Linked DNA regions of Drosophila melanogaster. The protein of the gene in region 2 purifies or fractionates together with the protein of the main gene of each other region. This does not show direct contact. Each region holds a gene or a part of one and is shown on either strand. Other genes may lie near its edges.

The links. Proteins that work in one complex are often made in the same cells at the same time.
Region 1: the proteins of RpL21 (region 2) and AGO2 purify together in Drosophila melanogaster (affinity purification with western blotting, with the first as the bait; one study listed by BioGRID). This does not show direct contact.

Annotation. Positions count from the first base shown.
Region 1 is NT_037436.4:15,552,138-15,560,134, reverse strand, and holds the start of AGO2 (argonaute 2), read right to left. Parts: upstream 6,023-7,997; 5' UTR 5,929-6,022; coding exon of another isoform or gene 5,913-5,928; 5' UTR 5,871-5,912; coding exon 5,663-5,870; intron 3,313-5,662; exon of another isoform or gene 3,286-3,312; coding exon 2,018-3,285; intron 1,886-2,017; coding exon 1,797-1,885; intron 1,742-1,796; coding exon 1,132-1,741; intron 1,036-1,131; coding exon 19-1,035; intron 1-18. UniProt on the Drosophila melanogaster protein: Essential for RNA interference (RNAi); double-stranded RNA induces potent and specific gene silencing.
Region 2 is NT_033779.5:22,246,642-22,249,456, forward strand, and holds RpL21 (ribosomal protein L21), read right to left. Parts: upstream 1,235-2,815; 5' UTR 1,155-1,234; exon of another isoform or gene 1,142-1,154; intron 1,081-1,141; 5' UTR 1,065-1,080; coding exon 585-1,064; 3' UTR 505-584; downstream 1-504.

The sequences.
Region 1 (7,997 bases), on a different chromosome or scaffold from region 2:
GGAAATTCAAAAACTTACCTTGTCACAGGCTTGTTTAATACACCTCAGTTCCTCGTTTTTGATTTTCGGAAACTGGCCGTCGCTCACGCCATCTCGGTAGTAGATGATATGATCAGGATAGGCGTTACGGTACTCTTTATACACGCGCAAGTGCTCCAAAGTAATCGAGAACATGTCCTCAATCTCCTCCAGAGCCCCTCGCTGCAAACGATATTGCATGTTATAACTGGCTCCGTAGGGATCGTGTGAGGCTGCTACTCCGACCACACTGGGAATCTCGCGCTGATCGGGAGAGGGATGGGTCACATCGGCTCCAATGTACATGGTGTTCTTCATCATCGGCAGACGAGGATCATCCTTGATCTTGTGGTTGATGCCGTTCAGCTTGGAGTTGATCTTAAGTAGAATATTTCCAATCGTCTGATTATTACACTTTCGTTCCACGGTGAACTGCTTAATGCATTGCGTCAAAATTCCATGCTGCAGCTCGGCCTTCTGCTTAATTGTATCGTAAGAAATTCTAAACTGAGGAATAATCACAATTGCCAGATCGTGCTGGCTGCGCTTCAGATCCGCGAAAATAGTGTCTAGGCTGCGTTCGTCATCCGTGAACGGTCTGTATGTCACATCAGAATCCAAGCTTATGTTGACTGCCTTGCCTTGGGATATTATTAGGTTCCCGAAGTCATTCAGCTGGGTATAGTTCATTTTGCGACCACTCCTCGGATCGCAATACAAGACCGCACACTTGTGCGCCTTGGGCTTGGGCTCCAGAAACTTCATGCCATCCATGCGCCACGACCCGTTCTTCACCATAGTAAACCTCTTACTATGATATTCAACCTGAGGTGGGCTTAGGACGCGGGTGCTTACCACAATAAAATCGTTGGCAATGCGGATGCCAAAGCGACTGATGGTCGGATCCAGGTTGTGCTGGAAGTATTGCAGCAAGTTCATAATCTTGCGCTTTCGCACGTTCGTCGATGTGGCTGCGTACTTTATCATATTGGCCACCTGAGTTGCTCCATCCTTGCGCTGTGAAATACATATGTTTATAGGTATATGTAATGACAATATAGCTTACGGTATTGAACACCAAGATATAGATATAAAGGAATTTAGTGAACTCACGTTTAGGGCCTGACCTTCCTCGATGCTGCATAGCTCGATGGGCAGCAGAATACTCTTGATTGAAGATCCAACGTTCAGACAATGGAGTTGGGGAAACTTCAATGGGTAGTTGCGACTGTGGAAGTAGGACGCAATGGTGACCTTCTTCCCATCGTGTTCGAAGGTCTCACTGCTGGCCGGGGCACGAGAAAGACCATTTACACGGTATACCCTTGGAGCGCTTTGAAACGACTGAGGAGGCGTGTAAACCACATTAATGCCTCTGAGGAATGGCTCAAGGAAGCGTCGCGAATAATCTAAATTCGTTGTATTGTTGATTTTAGCCTTTAAGCTAAATCGCTCCAAATATTCGATCATCGGCATTGAAATCGGAAAGGATTTGTGCGATATATCTACATTTAAAAATGGCCTATCGCCCAGCATAAATGCCTGATACAGACCGACCAGGGCCTCGTATCCATCATCCAGTTCGTGACGATTATTAGGATCGGACATCTTAAAGAAGGAACGACCGACACGGATGGCTTTGTTGTGGCAGGGTGAAGCCAAAACAACCTCCACGCACTGCATTGCTCGCATGGGCTTGTCGAAAATTCGGTCATTCATATAACTGCAGAGGAGCGCGTTCAATAGGAGTATCCATAAAAAACATAATTTATATTTACGTAGTTAACGATTTAAGGTCAATGGTCGAGTCACCAGTCTCCTTGATTTCGATCGTGTAGCGCAAAGTACGACCATTACGATCTGTCACCTAAAATAATAAGAAATAAAAACAACTAAAATATCGTATAGATTAAATTAAATTTAACTGCCACTGTATACATTTAAAAATGTTATTACTCCCAGTTGTTCATAACTTAGTAGACAATTTCTTGCAACTTACAGTCACTTCCGGATTTTGGCTATTTAACGGCAGCTTATCCACCGAGTAGCAAGAGGCTTTGCCATCATAGGCAAGAACTGCTCCGCCCAATTGGTCCACCCGAAATTGTTCAAATGCCTGTCTGTAAAACTTTTTGGGACGCTCTGGCATGATCTTCACGTCATAGTGGTATGCCACAGAAGGCATTTTGGACAGGTCAAGGTCCAGATAGTTGATGCCTACTTGCCCGGGTTTGCCGATTGTTCCGCGCTTAATGCTCCCGGCTGGCTGAGGCGGTAATGGTAATGGGGCAGCCTGCTGTTGCTGAGGTGGTCCACGAGATTGGTATTGGCCTTGGCTCTGGGTTTGGTTTGGTTGTTGTCCAGGCGGACGCTGTTGGTAGCCACCTTCTTGCCCTTGTCGTCCTTGCTGATGGCCACCTTGTTGTTGTCCAGACGGACGCTGTTGGTAGCCACCTTCTTGCCCTTGTCGTCCTTGCTGATGGCCACCTTGTTGTTGTCCAGACGGACGCTGTTGGTAGCCACCTTCTTGCCCTTGTCGTCCTTGCTGATGGCCACCTTGTTGTTGTCCAGACGGACGCTGTTGGTAGCCACCTTCTTGCCCTTGTCGTCCTTGCTCATGGCCACCTTGTTGTTGTCCAGGCGGACGCTGTTGGTAGCCACCTTCTTGCCCTTGTCGTCCTTGCTGATGGCCACCTTGTTGTTGTCCAGGCGGACGCTGTTGGTAGCCACCTTCTTGCCCTTGTCGTCCTTGCTGATGGCCACCTTGTTGTTGTCCAGACGGACGCTGTTGGTAGCCACCTTCTTGCCCTTGTCGTCCTTGCTGATGGCCACCTTGTTGTTGTCCAGGCGGACGCTGTTGGTAGCCACCTTCTTGCCCTTGTCGTCCTTGCTGATGGCCACCTTGTTGTTGTCCAGACGGACGCTGTTGGTAGCCACCTTCTTGCCCTTGTCGTCCTTGCTGATGGCCACCTTGTTGTTGTCCAGGCGGACGCTGTTGGTAGCCACCTTCTTGCCCTTGTCGTCCTTGCTGATGGCCACCTTGTTGTTGTCCAGGCGGACGCTGTTGGTAGCCACCGTCTTGCCCTTGTCGTCCTTGCTGATGGCCACCTTGTTGACCTTGTTTAGTCCACCCTTGTACCTGCTGTTTGCCTTGTTTTTTCTGTGCAGTCCATCCTTCTGCGTCTTGGGATTTTTGCTGTTGGCCTCCTTGCTGGAACCCAGATGCACGGGATCCGCCTGAGCTTGTGGATGGCTGTTGTCTCGAACCTAGATTTAGAAATCGACAAAGAATGTTTATTACAATAGGTGTTAGGTTTCGAAAAAACTGCAAGCAAACTCTTCGAAAAGTATTCACTTGGCTGATTTGAATTTGCTAACGCGAAAATAATTTGTATCACTTTAAAATACATACAGTTTGTCAAGAAACTGTTTACACACTGTGAAATAAGTTGAATTTTTGATTTTAAAGCTAAAAATAAAGGGTTTTTTGCTTAATTAAACGCAATTTTTTTATAAAATATAATTAAACAATATTAATTTTACTTATAAATCAAAAAACAAATTAAAAATATTAAATATACAAGAAAATAAACAACAAATTCCAAGTTTACACACTTTTGAGACTGTCAAGAAACTCTTTACACAAAACACTAAATCGAAGTTTAATCCTAAATTTTTTAATTATTTTATTAAAATTTTAAAAGTTTTGGTATGTAGTATGTTCCCCATTGGCTTTAGCTACAAGTTGAAGCCTTTTTTTCATGGATTGGACAAGTTTTTGCAGGTCATATTCAAACGGGATCTTTTCACACTCTTCGACTATTACAGTCATAAGCTGTTGTTGTGTTTTAGGTCCCTTTTTGCCACCTTCTTCTTTAAGTAGGTCCACAAATTTTCAATGGGGTTCAGATCAGGACTCTGAGGGGGCGTATCGATCACTTTACCACAGTTATTAAGGCGCCAGGTGCGTACATTGCACTCTTTATGTTTCTGATCATGTCCTGGTAAAACTTAAAATTTGGCTTGTTGTTGCTAACCAGACTAATTTTTTCTACACTGGCCTTCAAATTTGTTTTTTAACATTTCTAGATATTGCACGGCATTTATTGTGCTCTCAATTAAGGCTAGTTTTCCCACTCCACGGCTGGTGATACAGCCCCACATCATCAGTGACATTTTTCCAAATTTTATCGTTGGAATGATATTTTGTTTTTCTAGCGCACTCAACGGTTTGCGCCATACTCTGCTTGGCCCGTCGTTATAAAAGAGCATCATTTTTGTTTCGTCACAAAATATGACGTCATCCCAGTACTCTTCCGCATGATCCATCATGCTCACAGCGAATTAATGACGCTTTTCCATATTGGCATCTGATAGCAAAGGGTTTTTCCTTGCAAATCTTGAAGAGTACCTATGGCGTAGGATGACTTGGCGCACAGTTTCGTGTGACACAGTTAGGTGGCATTCTTGCCTGATATCCAGAGCAAGTGATCTGACCGAGATTCGGGGGTTCGCAATCACTATTCGCATAATAAAGCGGTCTACACGCTTTTTAATTTTAATTTTCCGTCCACCACCACTCTTAGGTTCAAGCCTGCCCTCTTTTTCCGAGCCTTTTAAAACATTGTAGACGGTCTTACGGGATACAGGAAACATTTATACTAATTCTGGAAAAGATTTTCCCAACTGGTGGTTATAGTTTATTAATTGGGTAACTTCAAAAGTTAATCTCTTTCCAGGCATTTTATTAAATTTAATAATTCGCTTTAAGCACGTTTGATCAGCAAAATTTCACAAGCAAAGTCAACAAATTTCAATAGAAGCGTTGTAAAAAGCAATGCGAAGCCAAAAATAACGGAAAAATCGAGTTCGTTCTAAGAAAAAGAACAAAACAAAGTAGGAAAACAAAATGTGTAAAGAGTTTCTTGACAGTCTCAAAAGTGTGTAAACCTGGAATTTGTTGTTTATTTTCTTGTATATTTAATATTTTTAATTTGTTTTTTATTTATAAGTAAAATAAATATTGTTTAATTATATTTTATAAAAAAATTGCGTTTAATTAAGCAAAAAACCCTTTATTTTTAGCTTTAAAGTCAAAAATTCAACTTATTTCACAGTGTGTAAACAGTTTCTTGACAAACTGTATGTACATAACCTTAAATGTAAAGATATATTGATGTCAAATGTTCAATTTCGCTTCATCTTTCAGATTTTTAATAAGTTTATAATTGAGTTAAAATGTCGGATCTGGTATAAATTAAGATTAAGATTTACAGATTTGAGCAGATTTTAATTCTTAATTGTTTGATGCTTCTGCCTAAAGCACAACTGTTACATTTCATAGCAAAATTCATTTTTTTAAATATAAAGGAATTTTAATTTAGTTATGTTAAGGGGAAATTCAATAACTGTTATATACAGTAGAATTCACCTTTAAGTATAATACACACATACATAGGTTCTATACAACCATGGCAGTTGAATTTCATCATGGCTGCCACGAATTCGGGAATTCCCAGGCATTTCGAAAGTTTATGGAGCATTTGATTGCAAATGGTAAATCCATATGTACAAAACATATGTATGTACATGCATGCATACATCTATTTTTTGCCTACGCCGATATATCGCACTTTGCACTTACTTTGTTGTTGTTGCTGATGCGGTTGTTGTTGTTGCTGCTGCTGTGGTTGTTGCAGCTGCTGTGGTTGTTGCAGCTGCTGTGGTTGTTGCAGCTGCTGTGGTTGTTGCTGCCGTTGTTGTTGTTGCTTTTGCTGCTGCTGGGGCTGTGGTGCTGCAGCGCTATCCTGTCCTCCTTTCTTGTTCTCTGGGGTGGTAATTGGAAAGTGCATATATTTGAATAGCTGTATGGTCCTGCAGGTGGGACAACTCACTATCTTTTTTTCCCATGATTTACTTTTGAGGGTTTCGAGTTAACTGACGACTTTTAATAGACGATTTTTTAATGCGTCACAGTCTTTTTTAGTGATGGGAGGCCTTAGGGGTGGGCGATAAGTTATTGAGCGGCACAGCTAAAGTGTTTTCTGTTATCGATTATTGATAGGAACATACGGACTAGGCGGGCCATTCAAGTGGGGACTCTATTTATATTTGTATATTTTTATACATGTTTTGTATACATGTTGCTTGTTGAGTCAAATGTATGCTATATTCGTTGAAAAGCATGTATCCGGCAAAAGAAACCGATTTCGACCTAATAAATTATATATATTATAATATATTATATATATTATATATATAAGGACCAATAGCCGAGTCGATCTAGCCATGTCCGTCTTTCCGTCCATCTGTCAGTCCGTACGAACGTCGAGATCTCAGGATGAATAAGAAGCTAGAAAATTGAGATTACGGAAAGCCCCCAAAACTTCCCACGCACATTTTCAAAATGTTTTGACATTTTTCATATTTTTATTAGTCTTGTAAATTTCCATCGATCTGCCAAAAAACTTTAAATTGCCACGCCCACAGTTATGCAAAATGTGATATTTTTCATATTTTGATTAGTCTTGTAAATTTCTATTGATCTGCCAAACTACTATTACTCCCACAAACCGCCGAAAAGCCACGCTTACAATTTTTAACAATTTTAATTTTTTTTCTTATTTTATTCACCAATATCTAATTTGCGTTCGCATTTCCAATAGTTGAGTAACTGGCATCTGATTATCGGGGAAGTTTAAAATAGGAAAAAAATTTTAATTTACTAGTTTTTTTTTTTAAATTTTATTTTGGAAGAAGACATCAGTAAGAATCAATAAATTTAATCACCACTGCTAGAAAGCATTATTTTTATTTTTCCGCCTTTAAGTGAAAAATAGTTTTACATTCCAGAAAAAGTATTGTTTTTCCATAGATAATAAATAAATAAAAGACCCAGATTCCTGCTGTTTGTATGGTTGTTTGAATTTTATTTGGAATTGCACTTTTACTTTTGCCAAATTACAGCAACCAATCATAAAAGTTTTACAATTTTTTTTGATGTATTTTCTTGTTTTGTTTGTTTTTTCCATTTTCAACGTTAAACATACAATATATGCGTTTAAAATGCTATAGCCAAAAAATAGTAAATAGTCGTACATTATTCATACTTGTATATATAAATATATCATAATGTATATTTCATGTTGTCTTTAATTTGTTTGTTTAACGCTTTATTAATAAAATTTTGTTTGTCATTGCACGAGCGTTTTGTTTTTCAACATCGATTTCTGATTTTCGTATTTTTACTAAATATCTTTCTTTTAAAAATTTTCTAACAATTGCACAACTTCGCCCGCTTGATTTATACACACATGCACAGACATACGTAGAAATAGCTAAATTATATTTTATAGATACATATTATCGAGTTGATAGGAAATCAACGGGTTACGCTTGAAATTTCCGTTAAGTAATTTTGTGTTTATAAATTCAACTAATAAAAACTAGAATGACTCATTTAGAACGCTGCGAAAAGAATACAAAAATATCTGTATAAATATGTATGTATGCCAAAAAATTGCACTAAAACGTAAAACACAAATTGTAAACATAAAAAACAAAATAATTGCTGCGAAATTTGATTAAATTGGGTTATACTCTCAAAATATCCCTTCGGTCAGTGCAGCGCCGTCTTATAAAATAAAACTTAACAAACAATAATTCATTTTCATAATTGGCTCGGAAATTGTTTTAAATTGGCCAGGCAACGCGGCAGGTGGAGAACGCAACCGAATTGGGGATACGGATACAGATACGGATATGGATACGGATGCAGATACGGATACGGATACCCATTATAAATTCGTATGCTTTCCATCTATTGAAACTCCAACTTGACGCCCGCTGGCGAACAGATGATGAAGAGAAACTTAAATGCTGCACATAGACATAGTTCGTTACATAATCCACCTATATAGCTACATTATGGAATTGTTTAGGTATTTTATCTCGTCGTCAGCTTTCGTTATTCGTTTTGA
Region 2 (2,815 bases):
TTTAGTTTTGATGGATGTCGATCAACTTCAGAGCTTCAAAACAACCTATGGGAGAGCATGACGGAGATCACGATATGGTTGGCGTATGTGGCACTGAAAGGCCACAAGCCTGATGCAAAATGTAGAAAAGGCCAAACCACAGCAGCAATTGTCAAGACTTGGCTCGTCTGGAAATGCCCTCACGTATATATTACTCCAGCACTGTCCGCAGACATAAATGTAATCAAATATTCGCCGTAGCCTTGAGGACGGATTTGATTTTATCTTTCTTAGTCTAGCAGCAATTTCGCAACTGCGAGAAACAATCTGTGAGCTACTGTGGTTTGAGTGAATAAATGTTTATAAATAAACAAGTCGAGAACATTTTACTCAAAATGGTAGGTAATTAGTATCAAATGACTTTGAACATAAAAACCTTTCAATAATAAGCAGACGTTGTCGCTGATCAAAACTTTAGTTGGACGCCGACCTTATTGCAAAATGAAAATTACAAAGTCTGTTTATATTGGGCACATTTTTTTTGTTTACTGAAATTATATCAAATATTATTTCATTCCGTACAATTTCCGAGCAGTAAAATGCCTTTAGGCAATGAATTCGTATGGAATCGGGGCCAGAGCAATCGGTTCTTCAAGTTTCTTAACAAAGTGCGCCTTCTTCGGCTGTTCCGGCTGGCGCTTCAGACTGACCCATTGTCCCTTTTCCTTCGCCTCCTTCAGCAATCGCTCATTTTCCTTTACGCGGCGCAAAAAATCTTCGCGGCACTTGGAGTGGTGGATGTGCTCAATGCGCACATTGACCCGCTTAGCAAGGATTTTGCCTCTTACGCGTTTGTTTACTATTACACCAACGGCGTGCTGAGTCACATTGAATATGCGCCCGGTTTTGCCATGATATGCCTTATAGGGCAAACCCTTCTGTACAGCACCATGTCCCTTAATGTCAACGATGTCGCCGATCTTGAAAACCCGCATGTATGTGGACAACGGAATAACTCCATGCTTTCGGAAGGGACGGGAAAACATGTCCCGTGTGCCGCGACGATAGCCCTTTGAGTTGGTCATTTTTATTTATAATCCCCTATAAAAAAGAGGCTTATTAGATCTTTTTCAAGTCATAATGAAGAAATATTCAACAAAACTCGTTGAACTTACGTCCACGCGGTCGTATAGTTGAGAAAAGAAAGAAAGATGGCTACTTGAATAGCGTTGCCACTGATAGCAATTAAGAGTTTAGAAACTAAATATTATGTACCGTCCACACTAAGTTACACAATAAGCTTAATCTTTTAAGAGAAGCAAAATAGTCCCAAGTCTGAATATTTGGTATTAATAAGGATTTAATGCAATATTTATGTAATACATATATTTACATTATATAAAAACATTATATATAAAATTGCACTACATACAAATGTCTAGATACAAATAATCGCTGAGAGAAGTGTTCAACTCCAAGACGTTAATATGCGCTATGGGAATAATTTGTGATTTAAGCGAATTTGTTGATACAATTTTGAAGATACATATAACCTTAAGGAAGATAAAGTCCTGCCCCATTTAATAATTTTAATTTTCAGGAACCGTTCTGCCTAAGTCTTTACTACCGTGGGACTTACTCAGTATTAATTTGCTCCCTTTTAAGAAAAGTCATTCATGATCTGATAATCGTAATTTTTTTCGAATTCGATTTAGCCAAAATCTTTTGATTTCTTTTTTAGGTGCTCTGCTTTTGGAAAATTTGTTCTATAGTTTGGATATCGCAATATGCATTCAGCGGTAAACAGCTGTTTAAGCTGTTCCAGACAACATAGCTGCCACATATTTCATAGTTTTAATTACGATGTCCGCAATTTCTTTTTTGTGGCACTTTGACCACTTAAGTAATTAAATCAAATAGAATTATTTACAAACAACACTATTGGCTCTCCTTTAAATAAATTAATGAATTCCTTCTATATATTTTATATGCCTGTTTCGTTTCACCAACAATGTTTGACCCCTTGACAAATCCAAACTTTTGTTGCCGACATCAAAATTTTGTTAGTCAAATCTGAAGTGGCGTCAGCAATAAAAATTTTATTAAATAAATTAGTGGCAGAATGATCTTGTTATGATGTGCAATAAGCATCAATAGACCACTGAGTAAACTATTTCTTCTCTTGAGTAAATAAGTTCTGTTTTAATATGAAAAAAGGCATTTACTTTTCATTTCGTGTGTCCGCTTTACATATCGAAAAAATCGTAAAAAAAAAACCGAATAATAATTAATAATTAATTTTATAAAAGCCACTCATATAAATATTTAACAGCATATATGTACATGCCACACTGTTCATTTCTTAGCGTAATGAAATAGTTTAATAAGAAATATATGAATCTATATAGGCGAGATCCGCATAATTCATCGTCATAGGATAAATTGTTTTTTTTTTTTCTGGAATCTAATTTCAAAGATTGTAGTAGTTTCAGCGCGAAACATCGATGTTTTTCACAAAAATCGTGGATGTAACATCGAAGTTTTCCGATGTTCTCTAAAATAAAATTAATATTATCATTTACACTTGAAATATAAGAAAAAAGATTTAAATATTATTAAATTCATTTAATTTAATATGTAGAATAAATTAAATATAAAACGTATAATAAAATTACAATATAAAATCAATTAGATTTAAACTGGTATAACTGGTTATATTAGAAAATTAAAAATCAGTGAGAGCTGTTCAAACAGTTGCATTTTAAGGATATCTTTTTATATATGTACATTTTGTATTTGATTTTGTATTTCTTCGGCATACCTTTAGCGTTCTAGG